Saccharomyces cerevisiae S288C: one gene and its partner. The protein of the gene in region 2 binds, or shares a complex with, the protein of the main gene of each other region. Each region holds a gene or a part of one and is shown on either strand. Other genes may lie near its edges. A codon is read from its position in the direction of its gene.

Evidence for each region.
Region 1: the proteins of RAP1 (region 2) and RIF2 are in contact, whole or in part, in a crystal structure (PDB 4BJ5), measured with the Saccharomyces cerevisiae proteins. Residues at the interface, in NP_014183.1 of Saccharomyces cerevisiae: Ser692 (codon at 911), Phe693 (codon at 908), Pro694 (codon at 905), Lys696 (codon at 899), Thr700 (codon at 887), Pro705 (codon at 872), Leu706 (codon at 869), Phe708 (codon at 863), His709 (codon at 860), Phe710 (codon at 857), Gly711 (codon at 854), Ser712 (codon at 851), Gln715 (codon at 842), Asp742 (codon at 761), Arg747 (codon at 746), Lys748 (codon at 743); in NP_013558.3 of Saccharomyces cerevisiae: His68 (codon at 1,955), Gln72 (codon at 1,967), Lys75 (codon at 1,976), Ser76 (codon at 1,979), Leu79 (codon at 1,988), Gly83 (codon at 2,000), Phe342 (codon at 2,777), Asn343 (codon at 2,780), Thr346 (codon at 2,789), Glu347 (codon at 2,792), Val350 (codon at 2,801), Gln351 (codon at 2,804), Arg353 (codon at 2,810), Ala375 (codon at 2,876), Tyr376 (codon at 2,879), Asn377 (codon at 2,882), Gln382 (codon at 2,897), Arg383 (codon at 2,900), Leu384 (codon at 2,903), Pro385 (codon at 2,906), Leu386 (codon at 2,909), Lys387 (codon at 2,912), Leu388 (codon at 2,915).

The regions. Positions count from the first base shown.
Region 1 is NC_001144.5:1,041,299-1,044,739, reverse strand, and holds RIF2 (Rif2p), read left to right. Parts: upstream 1-1,753; coding exon 1,754-2,941; downstream 2,942-3,441. Other genes in the region: FMP27 (Fmp27p), read right to left, coding at 1-742; GTPase-activating protein SST2, read left to right, coding at 3,374-3,441. UniProt on the Saccharomyces cerevisiae protein: Involved in transcriptional silencing and telomere length regulation. Its role in telomere length regulation results from either a block in elongation or promoting degradation of the telomere ends.
Region 2 is NC_001146.8:237,725-244,672, reverse strand, and holds RAP1 (DNA-binding transcription factor RAP1), read right to left. Parts: upstream 2,985-6,948; coding exon 501-2,984; downstream 1-500. Other genes in the region: IES2 (Ies2p), read right to left, coding at 1-205; PPN2 (putative serine/threonine-protein phosphatase), read right to left, coding at 3,362-4,342; ssDNA-dependent ATPase MGS1, read right to left, coding at 4,672-6,435. UniProt on the Saccharomyces cerevisiae protein: Essential regulatory protein in yeast whose DNA-binding sites are found at three types of chromosomal elements: promoters, silencers, and telomeres.

The sequences.
Region 1 (3,441 bases), on a different chromosome or scaffold from region 2:
GCTCTTCATTCGCCTTTGTTGTATCTGCCAATCTTTGTAGAAGTTTTTCATTGGACATCAAATCAACGTTCTCCTTGTTGATAAATAAATTCAATAAATTCATGGGAATATTTAAATCACCTAGTTTTAAATCTAATCCTACTTGAAGTCCATCCTTCAGAGGATTCATAATTTCACCAATTAGTAAGTTTGTATTCACTATAAAAATGGCATCAGCAATGATGGTCTGGCCATTCCAAAGAAGTTTTCTCAAAAAGGAATCAAATCTTAGTGACTTGATATGTTTAGAGTTATCAATTGAAAGAAAAAAGCCAAATTTTTCAATCGTGATATCGTTGTTGACTAATTGCGTATCTTCCAAAATGATCGTGACCCCATTGAGCCAGTATTGTGATAATGAAAGAATCTTAGAAATGAAGCCCCCACCATTATCTTCGGGGGTCTCTATAAAAGTTCTTTCTTCCTCTCTTGGTAATTCTTTATGAAGATCATTAGTAGATGATTTCTTGGAATCAATTCGTAGACCCTTGATGAAAAGCTTTCTTTCAAATACAGCAAAACGAACGGATTTTAGCCTGACGGTACCATCTTCTAAGGATAAACCGCATATTTCTAGTTTAAACAGGTTAATCCATGTTATATTTATTCCTAAAAGCTTCCTTAGTAAAATTTTACAGCTCCATAAGAAAGTCACTGCAAATATAAGCCACTTGTACAGTAGAACATTAATCGGAAACATCATCTACATATACCGAGGTAAAGGGCTTTTCTAAGGATTCTTATGTTCTGATCTAATTTAAAGCTGTTTGCTTTTACTGTCCTTTGTAATAGCTACCGTTCTTTGTCTCTGAGATGTCTAGGCCCTTTTAAAAGGGATTTATAGTTTATATCGCATTGAATGGCTTAATTGTCCAACTGCAACACCACCAAGACCCTTTTTCATGTCTCCCTTATTTCCGTCTTAATTTCCATGCAATGGGAAGTATATTTCCCGTGTAACGTGATATATTTGTGATGTAGTTCATGTTTGAGTTACAAGCCAAAAAAATAGGAAAAATATGCAGAACAAGAGTGAACGGGAACAAAAACTTGACAAATTTGAAACTCTGGATATAAAGGTTTTAATTTTATGTTTTTCTTGAGGATCTTCCATAAATTTGATCAATTGAATAAATTGGTAAACTTCACCCAAAAATTTGTTACTCCTTCAATTGTAATAGCGCTTAATCGATCCGAAGCTACTTATGCCAGAATAGATCATATTAAAAATGATAAAATAGATAAGGGGTCTCTATGACACTCTTTTTCCCGGAGCGTTGGAAATGATAGCGGCTATTTTTCTTTTGTCCTTAATATATTTTTCTCCTGCAAAGGTTAGGAAGTATAAAAGGAAGGGCAGTTTCATTTATGCATTTGAATTTTACCTTATGGCTCTTTTTTCCTCCTCCTCTTCAATGTAAATAAATCCTTAAAGATTTTGCTTCACTCCATATCCGTAACCGTTCTTGCTGACATGGTTTTCATACACATAATGTTATTATAAGGGATGCTTCTAGGTCAAAGGGCAACCCGGCTTAGTTATCTTGAAAGTTATTATTTTAGTTTTCTAATTTTGCAGCTGTTTTCAATGAAGAAAACATTGCGCTTACAGATATGTACAGAAGGGATCTTCTTAACCATCAATTTCAATAAGTTAGAACAATATATGTACGAATATAGATATAAATACGAACGTGGTTAGTATATAGAGACAATGGAGCATGTAGATTCCGATTTTGCACCTATAAGGAGATCGAAAAAGGTTGTTGACAGTGACAAGATTGTGAAAGCAATAAGCGATGATTTGGAGCAAAAAAATTTTACTGTACTGAGAAAGTTGAACCTTGTTCCAATTAAAAAAAGTGTTAGCAGCCCAAAGGTGTGTAAGCCGAGTCCAGTTAAGGAGCGAGTGGACCATGTTTTCTACCAGAAGTTCAAATCAATGGCCTTGCAAGAGCTAGGCACCAATTATTTGTCAATAAGCTACGTTCCGAGCTTAAGTAAGTTTCTTTCAAAAAATCTTAGGAGTATGAAAAATTGTATCGTTTTCTTCGACAAAGTTGAACATATACACCAATATGCTGGTATCGACCGTGCAGTTTCAGAAACACTGTCTTTAGTCGATATAAATGTCGTAATTATAGAAATGAATGACTACTTAATGAAAGAGGGTATTCAATCAAGCAAATCAAAAGAATGTATCGAGTCAATGGGGCAGGCTTCATATAGCGGACAACTAGATTTCGAAGCTAGTGAAAAACCTTCAAATCACACGTCTGACCTAATGATGATGGTTATGAGGAAAATAAATAATGACGAAAGTATCGATCATATTGTCTACTTCAAATTCGAACAATTAGATAAATTATCTACTTCAACTATAATAGAACCTTCGAAGCTTACCGAATTTATCAATGTTTTATCGGTACTTGAAAAAAGTAATAACATTGCATTTAAGGTCCTCATTTATTCAAATAACGTTAGCATTTCGTCTCTCCTATCGACATCCCTCAAAAAGAAACTCAACACAAAATATACTGTGTTTGAGATGCCGATATTAACATGCGCTCAAGAACAAGAATATTTGAAAAAAATGATAAAGTTTACCTTTGATTCCGGAAGCAAGTTATTACAGTCTTACAACTCGCTTGTCACATGCCAGTTGAATAATAAAGAATCCAACTTAGCAATCTTTTTCGAATTTTTGAAGGTCTTTCCGCACCCTTTTACCTATTTGTTTAACGCTTACACTGAGATTATAGTCCAGAGTAGAACTTTTGATGAATTGTTGGATAAGATCAGAAACAGACTGACAATAAAAAATTACCCACATAGTGCTTATAACTTTAAGAAAAACCAGCGTCTTCCACTTAAGTTAACTCGAAAAGTACATGATAGATAAATTACCAAGGTCTTTTGAAAGAGTTCGAACAATACAAAGAGATGGCAACTCCTTTGGAAAAGTTCAAGTTGAACCACCTCCGTTGTCTCTATTAATGAAGAAGCCATGAAGTATGCGAAGTTTTAACTGAATCATCTTCAATAATTATGGGATGTCTGGGTTTTAAACGTTTCATAATATTCAATTTTGAAACAATGATCCCAATACTGCTTTTTTTTTGACTAGGACTTGGATTTGGTTGCTGGTGCGTTAGAATTGTTGTCTGTCCTGTTATATTTATACCGGTGAATGAAATCATAATCCCAGCTCTGTCTTTACTTCTCATCGTCCTTTAACTTTGGAGGTGTTACTGTCGTACGTTCCTTCTAGGTTTTGCACGCACTATCTGAGGCGTTATAGGTTCAATTTGGTAATTAAAGATAGAGTTGTAAGATGGTGGATAAAAATAGGACGTTGCATGAATTATCTTCCAAAAATTTCAGCAGAACGCCGAATGGACT
Region 2 (6,948 bases):
CCACAGAAAGTTCTTTATCTCTAATGCGTTTTGAGGTTCTTACACCCTTAGGTACACTCCTACGTGCTGTTCTTCTAGATGATTTGGCTGTGACTATCTGATCGTCAATATCTTCCGTATAATCATCATCGTCAATGTATTCTTCCCCACCAGCTGAGACGCTGTCGGATAACTCTGCCTCAATGTCACTTGCTTCACTGTCCATTGTAGTCTGCTAATCGCCAGTTATTTGCTAGTTAGGCGTTTTATCCTTGAAGAAAAGACACGTTAAAAATGAGAATCTTCGTTCTGCGTTATACTTTCCTCCTTTTCTTCTCTCTTTTTTGCTAATGGGATTCTATAAAACTGTTCCGCCTTAATCATTGTAAGAATTTTGAAAATTAAAATACGTAAAAGTTTACATAAATTATACATTGAACTGAAAAACAAAGTAGAAAACGTGAATCAGTGAAATAAAGGAGTAAAATAAGTTAAACAATGATGTTACTTAATTCAATTACTCATAACAGGTCCTTCTCAAAAAATCTTTTCCTCATTTCCATTCTACCAGTTCCATGCTTTTTAACCAGTTTCCTTATTTGTTCTTGATCATTGCTTTTTAGCGATTCGTCGTCATCATGTGTCCAAATACCAGGAACGTTGGGAGGAGGATTAACATTGTCCTTAAACATGTTCAAGAAATAGCGAGGAAAGACCATCAGATCCCCGGATAAACACGTCAATATGCTCGTACTGAAATTTTTACGTATACCAGTTTCATCGCAAAGATCCTGTACCAGTTTTTCAGCCTGTGATGGCTCATAATCTCCTGAAATAACTTCATGAAGTTTATCCATAAATTGTCTCGTACTGCCAAAATGAAAGAACAATGGCAGGAAAAGATCTGTTGTTGCAATTTTTGGTGGAAAGCTTATGGTATCAGGATCAATATTATCATATATATCTTCATTCGAAAAATCGCTTCTTATAGCTTCCGCAATCTCGTGTGGATACTCAAAGGGCAAACTATTTGAAATATTGGATAGATCATTCTTTAAACTGGAAATGAAATTCATGGTATCTTCGTCCAGTAATTCGTTTTCTGGTATAGCGTAAGAGTTGGAAGCAGCGGCAGCAGCAGCGGCAGCAGCATTAGCGGACGCTGCATTGGCAGTAGGCTGAACATTTCTTTGAGAACTATAATTTCTTGCCCTCTTGGCGGCAGAGTTATAATTGCCAGGAGTGGGAACGCCAGGCCTCTTGGGTCTATTGGTGAGGTTCTTCATCGGTTCCGGCTCTCTATTCTGAGCTTTTTCAGCTTCATAATAACTAATATAATCATCAATGCCGTAAGCGAGAAGAAACTTCCTAAACCTATCTCTCCAAGCATTCTCAGTATGTGCTGCATGCTCTTCGGCAAAATGCTTGAAAAATTCTCGTGCAATCGGTCCCCTACGGCTTTGGGTTCTGTAAGCTGCAAAGTTGGGTTCACTCCCTGGCACATGATTTGGATCCATTGTCATATTCCTCCTCGCTATAGCAGTGGGTGTATCCTCATCTGTGATAAGTGATCTTCCAGTATCAGGGTCGATTTGAAACAAATCACGATAAAACTGCTTCTTGACCGCGATTGCCAAAGTGTAATCTTCATCTGCTGAAAATTTCCTTTTAATTGATGGTGGCAAAACTTTAGTCTTTATCAGATTTCCATCGTCGTCTCTAACCAATTTACCAAACTTGTCAACCTCATAAACGTACTCTAGTCTTTTGGAAAGATAGACTCTAAATCGGTGCCTAATAGAATTACCCGTGTGGTTAGGCACATAATGGGATATTTCATCGTAAAGAGTATGTGTTGTACGCCTGGTTGGATTTTTTCTCACAACATCCAAAATAAACTCATCTTCCTCATCTGTAAAAGAAGCTTTATTGTGGGAGGGCAAAGCGCCTCTCGAAATCATGGACCTTTGTGCTTGAAAAGATGCATTCCCCTCATCTGCTGTTTGAGGGTTGTTGTCCTGTGTCAAAAGATCATTGTCTTCGTCGTTGACGTTGCTATTATTATTATTGGAGGTATCTTTTTGAGGTTGTTCGATCTGGACCAAGTCATTGTGCCCTCCGCTTGTGATTGATGCGGTGCTGCTTACATGTTGACGAAGGAGCTGAGCTTGCTCTTGTAATCTAGCTTGTTGTTCAGCGTCTACCATAACTTTTTCGCTGGTTGAGTCTTCCGTAGCGCCATTAGTATTCGTAGAGATTATTTCTGTTTTGGGCCTGATAGAATCCTTGTTATCGCTATTGCTATTGCTATTATCTACACCATTAGAATGCGATTCCTCCTGCAACCTACTATCGACAACTTCTCTAAAGTTATCGTATGGTACTAAATAATTTTCCATGTTCAGTAGCGAGTTGCTTTGACAACATGCCTTAATATAAGTCGGAGTTACCGTTGGTAAATTGGTATGATTATAGGGTGACACGATGAAAACATTCTCTTTTGATTCTCTTGGCTTGGAGTCTAGCACTTCACCACCGTTTGCTCTAATCAGACGCGCTAATTGATCAATATCATTTAAAGAGTCATGCGCATCCGCGTCGCGATTAAGATAGAATTTCATATTTGACAGAGGAGGACCACTTACTTGTTCCTTTTTCTCATCAGCAGCGGTGTCATCAGTAGTAGGTTCAGTAACAGATGCACCTGATGTCGAAGCAATGTTAGCGGTAGCAGCAGTATCAGCAATGGAAGGCGTGGTAGTTGTTACACCGACTTCAGTGGTATCATCATCATCTTTCTTTTCGACCTCCGTCTGATCCACTTTCTCACTAGTTTCAGCAGCAGTAGCACCAGTGTTTTCTTCGTTTTGATTAGCTTTTACCTCAGCGGCTGAATCCGATGGCGCTGTGACTGCAGCAGAACCACTGTCAACAACGACCATACTCGGATCCAATGCATCAACATATTCTGCTGGTGCAGTTTCAAAATCATCTGGACTAGACATATTGAGATAATCTGTACGCAAATAGTGTCTTATGTAGGGCGGTTGCGTATACAACGGTTTGTGTTTACTACCTTTTGGGCTATGGGTTTGTTTTGTTTAAAACGTGTATTGATGGTGTTTAGGTGCTGGATGTTGGGTGTTGAAGAAATGATTGCGGTTGTCTGTTTTCGGTTTTGTTTTCTTTTCTCGCTAAATTTTAAAACTTCAACAACGAAGAAGAGGCGGGTAGCGGCCATTGGGCAAGAATACTTGTAGCTCCAGCGAAAGTTTCATTGAAATTTAAGATTCAGTATTATGAGTTACATAATAATATTCATATCTTTTTCATATAGTACATTATATAAAATCTGTTGCGCTTTTAAGTAGTACTTTTTGTTTTAAGAGCATTGTACTTGAATTAATTCATAGTCATATTGCCCCTTCTTAATATCGTACTTCACTTTCATAGATGAAAGCAGATTGTTCTTTATACATGCTGTGTCCAAACCTTTGGTCTGTCTCCGTAGGTTTAGTCCCATGGATGCATCGTGCCCGTAAAATACTTTGGCGTTACTAAAGTGGTCTCCGTATTTGTCCCACAGTGTGTACCATCTCACATAATTCTTGTTTTCCTTTTCACGTGATGTTTTTGACCAGTTCTTCTTATCAACGTACTTCATGTTTGACAGAGAGCTCACGCCCGGAATTTGGTTGGGCTTCATGAAGTCTCCCGGAACCATCCCTGCATGTGCACCAAAGAGTATATCACCGGTAATATCCAGATCTAGTTCTATGGCCATAGAACAATGTTCCGCTAGCTGACTTAATTTGGAAAACCCAAGTTCGCGAGCTAACCGTCCATGTGCGTTGCTGATTTTAGAGATGTCTTGTGGTATGAAATTAGTCTCCGTACTGAAAGTTAAAGGTGTCATTAATTTGGGGCGTCTTACCCATTTCGAGAAGTCTGGGTTTAAATAGGCCATCATGACCAATATTTCATGATTGCCCAAAACGCACTTGACTTGATCCTTGTGATTTAGAATATACGACACGACCTTGTCTGAGTCCGGGCCCTTGTGAATAAAGTCACCCAGCAATATCATTGTTATATTTTCTCCTAGTCCTCCAATCTTGTCATCAATGAGTTCTATGAACTCATCATAGTTACCATGAACGTCACCAACAAAAACGTACTCCTTATTTAAATCTGTTACATGCTCAATTTTCTTCAAGGTGCTAATTGTAGGCAATAAGGAAACTGGTGGAGACAACCGAGGGTTATCAAACTTGAATATATATAGTGTATAAACGCAGCATGCCACAAATAATATCAATGCTGTACTAAGTGTAGCGGCTCGTCTTTTCCGCTTATCTTCCATTTTTGCGTATCTATGCTCCTCAAGCCTGGCTCATTTTACAAGCTGGAAGGTCGAGGAAAAGGAAGAACTAATTCAAGAATAATGTGCTCTTCTTATAGGATGCGTATATGTTCTAATATATCTCAGATGGGCCCGCGAGACTTTTCTAGCATGAAAAAAAAAGGTGGATCCTTGATTATCTAAAATTATAGTTTATATCGTTCATGCTGCACAAAAACGTGCCAGCAATGCAATGCGCCTCAAGCGTAAAAAAACAAGCGGCATTGGCCAACAGAGAAAAAAATATGAATTGTAGACGCGGCATTGAGAGAAGTATGGAAGACCCTTGACTAACCCTGATATGACTGTCTCAAGTCAGGATCTTCTTTGTCTCCTAAATGTTTGCCGTCCAGGAACTTTAAGTCAGTTTTATTTGGACATTTCTCGAGCACTTCTTTGGGAAAGTAGTCTTGTTGGACTTTTCCTTCAATATAATCGGGATTGTACTTGTAGCCTTTATGATAACCCAGCTCCTCCATCAATTTGGTTGGCGCATTTCTGATATGCATCGGTATCTCACTGCTTGCTAAACTGTACATGTTCTCGCTCATCATTGCCCTTAATTTCTTCCAAGCTCTATATAGTTCTACTGACTTTGGTGCCCTAGCCAAAGCAACACAACATTGCGCCAGTGCAAGGTCTGCCTCTGGCAAACCAACTTTCATTACTGCGTCATGTGCCGCGACAGCCAAGGGCAATAATGAACTATCCCGTAATCCGATATCTTCAGAAGCTATTCGAATCATTCTTCGGGCAACATACAATGGGTCCTCTCCTCCCTGCAACATTCTTGCTAAATAGTACAGTGAGGCGTTTTCGTCCCCACCTCTAATGGATTTATGAAACGCAGAGATTGTATCATAATGGTTATCTCCCTTTGGGTCATAGTATGTATTCAACCCGTTGCTGCTGTTGTTCTTAATTATGTCTCGTACATCATCGATAGATAATTCTTCCTCGTCGGCCTTGCGCTCTCTTGTTGAAACTTCGATCATTTCCAACATATTTAACGCCCTCCTTGTATCACCCACCGACAGATCTACCACGTACTCCAGTATGCTTCTAGACAATTTCAAAGGATTTTCAATATTCCATACTTGTTTCCTGCATTTATTCAATAATGCAATTCCTCTTGATAAAACAATACACAGTTCGTTGACATTCAGCTTTTCTAGGACAAAAATCAGACATCTGCTAATGAGAGCATTGTTCAGCTGAAAACTTGGATTTTCTGTCGTTGCACCAATCAAAATAATGTCACCGTTTTCTACGTGTGGCAATAACAAATCCTGTTGAACTTTATTGAATCTGTGAATTTCATCAATAAAAAGTACAGTTCTTCTTTTGGTCAATTGATATTCCTTTTTTGATTTTTCAAATATACCTCTCAATTCTTGCGTATTTGCCTTTGTCGCACTTGTTTCGATCATGAAGTACCTGGAACCAACATTTGATTCATTACTACTGGTTGTCGCAGTTTTCGTTAATAGTCTAGCTAGTGAAGTCTTTCCTACACCTGGAGGGCCCCAGAGTATCATAGATGGTATAGTCCCTTGTTTTATGTATTTGAACAATGTACCATTATCTTGAGAGAGAATGTGCTGCTGACCTACATAATCTCTTAATTCTTTTGGCCTCAATTTTTCACTAAGTGGCAAATGGCTTATTTTCTGCAACCATCTGCTTTCGTAATCGTTGTGAAGTTGATCTCTGCTCGAAGCAGGCTCCACTATTGATTTCGCAAAATCCGTGGATGGTGCTGCCTTAAATCTTTTGCTTTCATTTTCAACAATCTCAATATCATCACTCTCGCTCTTAAGACCTGGCTTAATTTCATGGTCCTTATTTTCAAGATCAATGAATTTCTCTGAGTTAGCTTGTTTCCTCTTTTTTGGGCCTGCCAAAAGACTTGACACCGTTTGTGGCCTACTCGAAGGCTTTGACTTTTCCTTGCCACATATGTCAAGATGAGAGTTGATTAAGGAAAAAAAGACTTTTCTAGAGCAAATTGGGCATGATATGAGCTGTTCTACAGATGTCCTCTTGTTACTCATTGAGACTGTGCGATCCTGTTTCAGATCTTACCGCTAGCGTTCTTCTGCTAATAAGCTATTTTTTACCTGTCGATGACCTACCTTAAAACACGTTTCGTTTAAGACAACGCGTACAGTTTCACAAGGAAAGCAACCGATGATTGAATGTCAATTAAAAAACAAAAAACAGATGTTAATTTTAACTGGGCTCTCAATATCAAACCGTTATAGTATATGATGTATCTAAACGACCACTTATCACTTGGATATGTTGTCAAATCCGTTTTGCTCTTGCGCATGTTATACCTACTTTTTACTATCTACGGCGGGCATCCTGACCCGGCTTATTTACTTGAAAATGCAACAATAAGTCCGTTACGCAATATTGAATTTTGATGAGAACCGTTCTGCGATATTCAGAACTGTCAATACAAGCTTGAAAAAGGGACAACTGGATATACAGGGGTGTTTTTGACACAATAGAGAATACTTTTTCGTTTTTATTGTACCATTACGGCTACTCAACGAGATTTC